Coturnix japonica: one gene and its partner. The protein of the gene in region 2 purifies or fractionates together with the protein of the main gene of each other region. This does not show direct contact. Links are inferred from orthologs where the notes say so. Each region holds a gene or a part of one and is shown on either strand. Other genes may lie near its edges.

Region 1 (3,654 bases), on a different chromosome or scaffold from region 2:
AACAACTCACACAGTGGTCAACTCAAGGTATTAAACGATGCTTCTCTGAAACATATTTAAGGAGAATTACTACAAGTGATGAAGAAACAACCCAACCCATCGAAATGATGGCTTTGAACACCTTCAAATTTCATTCTAAACTGAACAAAAACATGCAACCCATACCAGTTTTGTACAAGGAAGTCAACCAGATGGAGAGAGGTTTGGTCAGCAGTCCGGACTGCTAAATGAAGTGCTGTTTCACCTGGCTCCTAAACACATGGAAACAGAGGTTAGATCATCTCAAACAGAATTGCACTTTATTTTCTATATGTAACTTCTGCCTTGATACACGTAAATAAGAACAATTCAGATTAAAAGATGCATGAGAAATTACTCTAAAATCAAATTTTAACAACTCTTATGAATCATTAAGTGCATTTAATGAATTTTAATTTTTATGTATTCTCATTTAAGTTTTTTTAAGTAGAGAATTTATATGGGAAACTGCTGTTATAAACATCTTAACTGCAGGCCACATTTCAATTGGTATTCATACATATTACTGACTACAGAAGCTGTGAAACACTAAGGGTTAATCCTTTGGTTCTCATTACAGCTGACAGAAAGTCTACCCCATAGTCAGAGGATCTGTGAAGTACTTCCATGACCAGCACTATGTGATACCTCAAGCGCTGAGACTGAGCTCCCTCCACTCCACACAGAAAAGCCCACAGAACTTACTGAAAACTACCTGAGATCTCTCTAGGTTGGATTTTAAAGTAGCAGGAAAAAACACTGCTGACCAAGTGGCTACACAGCATTGGTTCTTTACAAAACCAGGTTATGTTGCTCTGGAGCAACATTTCTGCATGGATACTTTCGGTGAAACAGATTTTAAAGGAGAAACTAGAAGTATTCAACACATTATTAAAACCAAGTCAAAGCCACGATTCTTGTCCTGGATGAAAAAATGTACTTTTGGAAACGTTTCATCACAGCCTGTGAAAGCATCACCTTTGCTGTTTCAGTAGGTGATGTGATGTGTCCCTTCAAAAGCTACTTTAAAAGCAGACATGACACTGTCTGTGGTATCAGGTGACTTTAGGTTAGCAAATTCAGCTACCTATCTCAGGTCCTTTTTCCAAAAGAAGCATACTGCACAGCAGGTGCTTCCCAACATAATATAGCTGCAATTAGAACAGTGTATCATAGTACTGTTGCATTTCACACTCTTTCAGACTAACTGCTGGCAACAGATATGGTCTTCTGTTTTCCCCTCTAAAGGATGCCCAACTTGGGAAAGAAAAAAATGATTTATGTGTTATTTCTCTTCTTTTAGTATTAAAGGTAACCACCTGTGGTACTTGAGATTTTACAGACATACTTCACTCAGTCTTGTTTAGCTGTTTGGCTTACCTGTCCAGGCTCTAACAGTGGCTCCATTAGCTCTACCCCCTCTGCATAGACTTGAATTAGTGCAAGTAAATCCCTGGATTTGACAGCCTCAAGTAATTCATTCAGTTTAGCTGCTGCAGATGCACAAGTCTTCCTAGAGAACTTATGATCTACATACTTAGCAGTTATAAATTCTTTACGTGCAGTCCTGTGGGGTATGAAAATAGACCTTGGTTTAGATGCTTTTTTAGGAAAAAAATGGGTCAAGAATATTAATGTAATATCACATTATTTAACTTGAACTCAGAAGGTAGGAGGAAAACCATCAGATAAAAGCTTATTACTGTAATGCAAGCTTTTTTTTGTTATTGTATAGGGCAGAAGACTGAACTTTTAAGAAACTCCATGTTTGGAGTATGAATAAAAAGTGTCCTGCCACCCTAATCCACCCTTGGCTTCTTTATTGCTTAAGGCGTTTTCCACCCCCAAGTATATTTCATATTAAACTTAATATTGAACAACTGAAGAGATTCAAAACTTACATATCACTCGATGGACTGGGTTTAGGTGAGGGACTAGGTAAATTCCCTTCCATAATATCATTAAAACTATTGTTTCCTACATTCTTGGCCAGCTGCAATAAGAAAACGAAATGATTAAAGGGAGATTTTTCCACCCCCCGACCATCAATAAGCTAAAACCTGGGCTATTAATAGTCATTTTCCACTCTGTTATCAAATGAACAAATAGTACGTTTGTGAGTTTCAGTACTATTAATAAGTATTTCACAAAGTTACTGCAATGAGTATTCTCACAGGTCAAGCACAGACTGTGGTAATAAACATGTCATAACTTAAAAGTTTTCCATACAATTCCTTTCATGACATTAAACGATTTCCTTCTATGAAATTAAAAGATTCATCCAATATTTTTTCTGCCCAAATTAGCATTAGTCGTTCTCAGTTGTTAAGTTAGATTATCACAAGATACTTTAAGCTATCTTGATTTGGAGTAATTTGGATCAGACAGTATGAGGTAATATTCTAATGTTGCTATTCACAGCAGATATTAATGTTCATTCTGTAAATCCTTAGGAAATGAACAGAAATGACAAACAGACAGATGTATTAGCAATACATAATAGTACAAAAACCTCACAAATATATGAATAACATATTCTGCAAATCTTATATATTCAAAAGTTCAGGGTTCTATTACAAGTCAACATGGAATCATTAGGGTTGGAAAAGACCAGAAAGATCACTTAGTCCAACAGTCAACCCATCTCCACCGTGTTCACCAAACCACGTCCCTCAGCACCACATCTCCATGTTTCTTGAATACCTCTATAAACAGCGACTCCACCACCTCCCTGAGCAGCCCGCTCCAATGTCTCACCACTCTTCCTGAGAAGAATTTTTTCCTAATTTCCAACCTAATACCCAACCAGTAATTAAACATAATGTTTAATATATGCACAACATAAGAAACTTACCAAGAGTTCAGACGTTCCTAATTTGTCTAATTCCAAAGACTGGATTCGAGAAATATGGACACCCATTTCTCTGTGTATTCCAGAACACTCTATGCAGGTTAAAATGCCCAAATTAGTTGATAGCCATGTTGGATCTGTGAAATTGATAAATAAAATAATTTAAGAAGTTAGAGAAAGTTTTCTGTGGTGGTAAGAAATCAAATGTAATCTGAAGCAATTACTTATTCAATATTTTAACAGATGGAAATGAACCAAGCATATCTCACACTTCTCTCCAAACTGCAGCACAAGTGCACAGCCACAATGGCACTGAATTTAGACTTCCAAATCCATACTGAATGACCACACTGAATGTATTTAAGGTTTGTTTCCTCTAGAAAGAAGACAGGCTTTTATTTCCTGCTTTTAAAAAGCAACATACTACTTATATTCTACTGTTGACAACTTCTGAAGTTTTAGCATTTACTTCTTAAATAGTCTTTTTTTCATTAAAAACTGACCATAACATAACCCAAAATGCAAAACAGTAACATGTGTGGAAAACATCAGGAACTAAGAGCTTAGGTTTTTTTGTTTTTGTTTTTTTTTTTTTTTTTTTAAATGCACTGTCGTGGAGTAGATCTGCATTTTTTACATTACAACATCTACATAGGGAACATGATCAGTCTGTTGAAGAAAGTAAGTGAATGTACACATATTTTGTATACATTCCATCAAATAAATCTCATCCTCATCTTATATAGTAGCTGATAAGACTTTAAGGCTGCAAGTTGGGGTACAGA
Region 2 (3,654 bases):
GCGATTTGCTTGAGGTCAAGACATTAAAATAAACCCCTACGCGGGATCATTGTTATCTCGACGTGAGTAATTTTAAAGTGACTATCAGTGCTTCTACTGATTGCTTTTAAAAGGCTGACAGGATGACAGAATAACTCAGCACACCTTTAAAGGCTGGGGTGGAGGCACACAACATTGAACACAGGTTCAGACACACAACATTATGAGCCACACCCACTCCCTCCCCCTAAAATAATGACTTCAGAAGTGAAACGTGGATGGGGAAACACTTATGTTAGTGATGTTTCACAAGAGACACGACAGTGGATCAGTAACCTAAGCATGCTTATAATCAAGCTAGTCTATAAGTGACTTTAGTCACTTATTTAAAAGAAAAAATAAAGCTTTATCAGTAACTTATCAATCATGATGCAAAACCAGCTTTACAGTGCTTTTTTTCCCTTTCTTATTCCTACAAAATTATAATGTGATGGAAAGGGAAATCCCTTGAACAGATCTCTTCTTTCTAAGTTTTGCCCATTATGTACCTCCAAAGCCAAGGCTGTCTTGTCGTAGGCATTAGGGACTCGCTTCTGGATAACCCGGGCATAAATAGGGCCATTCTGAAGGTTAGGGAGCGGAGTGTTGATGCTGGGCTGGGCATAGGGCCCTGGCTCCGGCCCACCCAGTGGTTGTGGGTGGGAACTATCCTGGTTACCTCCAGTCAGAGTAGATACTGAAGCAGAGGAAGGTCTACACTTCTCGACGTAAGGAACAGGTATCATTCCCCTCTTTCCTTCGCTGTCTTCTGCATTCCACCATTGCTCTTCAGGTTTGTCCCGGATTTTCAGTATGTCTCCTTTCTTAAATGGAAGATCTTCGTCATCGTTTCCATTAAAGTCAAAGAGAGCACGCACATATTCAACTTCCTCCTGCCTGAGGATAACGCCACTATTCTGCCTGGATCGGGGAACTGGTTCTATCAAGGTTGTAGTGTCCAAATAGTGTATTTTGTAGAATTCCAGTAAAGATGGCAAAGAATCAAACTCCTGGTCACCTATTCGAAACCTGGTGGGATTCAACCCTGAAAGGAGAAAGCAAAACGTCAACAAAGAGATTGAACAATGGTTACAACTGTAAATGAAACGTCTGGGAAGACTAATACCTTTACAGACAGTCCTAATACCTCTACAGTCATTTGATTTTGGTCAACACTCATCGTATTCATACAATTGTCACTGAACAGACAACTCATTTCCTTCTCCCCCTGATGAATACTCTAAATCTGGACAGCAAACAAAATCCTGGTAGAAATTTTTAACAGCACAGACACTACAGAAAAACATTTAGCACAGCAATACAGCAGTATGTTCTCATAACACGTAATAAACGTAATTCATTCTTTTAATCTCCATTCTTATATTCTCTGTGCTATATTCATCAGATGGAGTCTAAGCTGCAAATGCGGCCCTCGAATACATTAAAATGCAGATGATGTTCATATTCAAGACATCAGGAGTAGCAAATTACATATAATCCATTTCAGTTTTCAATCTGTGAGGTTTTTTTTTTCTTTTCATTTTTATGCTCATCAGCTGGGGAAAAACATAAGTATGATGTTCCATTTCCACCACGCACCATATACTGTGTAATCAGTTATGGGAAGAATCGTGGAAGGCTGGGGGAGGGCAGTGGAGAGGAAAAGATTTATGCTTTAATGAGTAACTCTTAGCAAGAACGAGATGCTTACTTTGCAAGTCTGCTTCTCTGCAGGGAATATCTAAGAGTTCTGAGAATGAGCTCTCGAGTACAAAGCTAGAAGAATTTTTCAGGCTGTCGCTGATCCAAAAGTCCCTTCAAAGTAGCACCGTCAGCACGACAAGCTAACGTTACAAGAAGGTCTTTCAAGAGAGCAAAAAGGGCTTCTAATAGAGAAAGGGCAGATTCGGTAAGATCAACACAGAGAAACAGCCAATAAATAAGTTCTGAAGTCCTCAAGGAACAGAAACATCATTTGAGTTGGTTACAGAAAATTCAAAGCAGCAGAACTAAGTCATAGGAAAATGCACATTCAGATACATCAAAAGGCTGAAGGACTTTCAAAAGAAATCAGCCCCACTGCAATGAGCCAAAAAAAGCACTGGTCTCAAAAAAAACTCCCAAAGTAACCAAAAATCACACTGATAAGGAAACGAATGTAAATATCAGTGTGATGTGTGAACCTGGCACAGAAAGAGGAGTAAGACTCTAGAAATAACACATGACAGCCTAAAACAGCTGCCAAATGTACCTACATAAAGCTTAAGAAAGTCCACTAAAGCCTTATGTGTGAGGAAGCAGGGACTGAGATCAGTGCACTGCAGAGCCTTCCAAAATACATTTGACATATCTGAAGAGAGAACGCAGCCCCTTCAAATAGGTTTTAAGATCAGAATGATCAATGTGTTCCTTGAAGGGACAAAAAGGATCGACACTATTTGCACAAAGGGAACACGCCCAAAATGCCACACGCGGTTCTGATTCTTTTGTTTTAAAAGCAGAGGGCAGCTACAGCCATTTGAGGTCTGGAAAGCAGGATCTTTGCAGCAAGAAATCCATAAGCTTCATTCAAACTGCTGAAGAACATAAAGGCAGCAACCTGGTCACGGCCTGGAAAACTTGAATGGGAAGATTCCTAAAAGCACCTTGACAGGAGTTGAAAGTCGCTATTAGGAAAAGGCAGGTTGGAAATACAACCACACCTTACCAAGCAGGTGGTAATCTCCTCATCAGTTTAAGTCTTTGGTGTATACTCTTGTTCAACTACAAAGTCAAAGAGCTGAGTGATGTCACTTAAACAGCAGGGAAATAATTCCACACATTAGAAGCTTCCAAGTCCTGCCATTCCCTGCTACAATGAAACCCATAGATTAACAGATTTCAGGCTTGGAAGAATTCTTCAGCTTCTTGTTTGAATTACAACACTTCTCATACCTGTAGGCCAGTGGAAAAAACTAAGGCAAGATCTACCATAAGGAAGTCAGAGCAAAAGAGCTGTGTTTGTTTTCTTTGTCTGGAGAAGCAGAGATGTTTTCCTTCACAACCCTGGAACAGTTTTCTTGAAGGCACAAGTTCCAGCAGCATATGGTCTGCATCTTCCGAGGGCTCTCAGGAAAAGCAGAATGTGTGCAAAGGTAAGACTGGCTTCTAAAGGAACTTTAGTCACTTCCTATTAAAGTTGGACAACTGAAGAAATCCTCTTCCCTCCTCCCCAGCTCTGGACAGCCAAAGGAAGGACAGCAGCTCAGCTCACACCTTTGCTGCAGGACTGTTCGGCTCTGTAAGACAGCCCCTTAGAATGAGAAAGGGAAAGAGATGTGTATCATCTTCCTACCTACTCCATCCGAGCTCTGTCTGTGCTAGGACTTAATGTGATTCCATCCACTTGGAAACAGATAGTGAAATCTCTGCTCTCAAAGGGGTGATGAAGGGGTTAAAATCCAAAGTAGCCCATAATTAAACTAAGCGTAAAATTTGGACCCTGACTGATCTCTATGACACACGGGCCTTCCTACGGAGGACTTTTACACTGGCTTGGCTTTGTGTCAGTGTGGAAAAGATCATTCACAGAGGTGTTAAATAAAACATCTAACATTCTTTTTGGGAGCGTGGGCAGGTGGCATAACCACAGAGCAG

Evidence for each region. Proteins that work in one complex are often made in the same cells at the same time.
Region 1: the proteins of CRK (region 2) and ASAP1 purify together in Homo sapiens (affinity purification with mass spectrometry; 3 studies listed by BioGRID and IntAct, with this or other methods). This does not show direct contact. The link is inferred for Coturnix japonica from reciprocal best matches to the Homo sapiens genes CRK and ASAP1.

The regions. Positions count from the first base shown.
Region 1 is NC_029517.1:126,769,963-126,773,616, forward strand, and holds part of ASAP1 (arf-GAP with SH3 domain, ANK repeat and PH domain-containing protein 1), read right to left. Parts: intron 3,007-3,654; coding exon 2,873-3,006; intron 2,012-2,872; coding exon 1,920-2,011; intron 1,586-1,919; coding exon 1,399-1,585; intron 252-1,398; coding exon 166-251; intron 1-165. UniProt on the Homo sapiens protein: Possesses phosphatidylinositol 4,5-bisphosphate-dependent GTPase-activating protein activity for ARF1 (ADP ribosylation factor 1) and ARF5 and a lesser activity towards ARF6.
Region 2 is NC_029534.1:3,977,427-3,981,080, reverse strand, and holds part of CRK (adapter molecule crk), read right to left. Parts: intron 1,064-3,654; coding exon 528-1,063; intron 1-527. UniProt on the Homo sapiens protein: Involved in cell branching and adhesion mediated by BCAR1-CRK-RAPGEF1 signaling and activation of RAP1.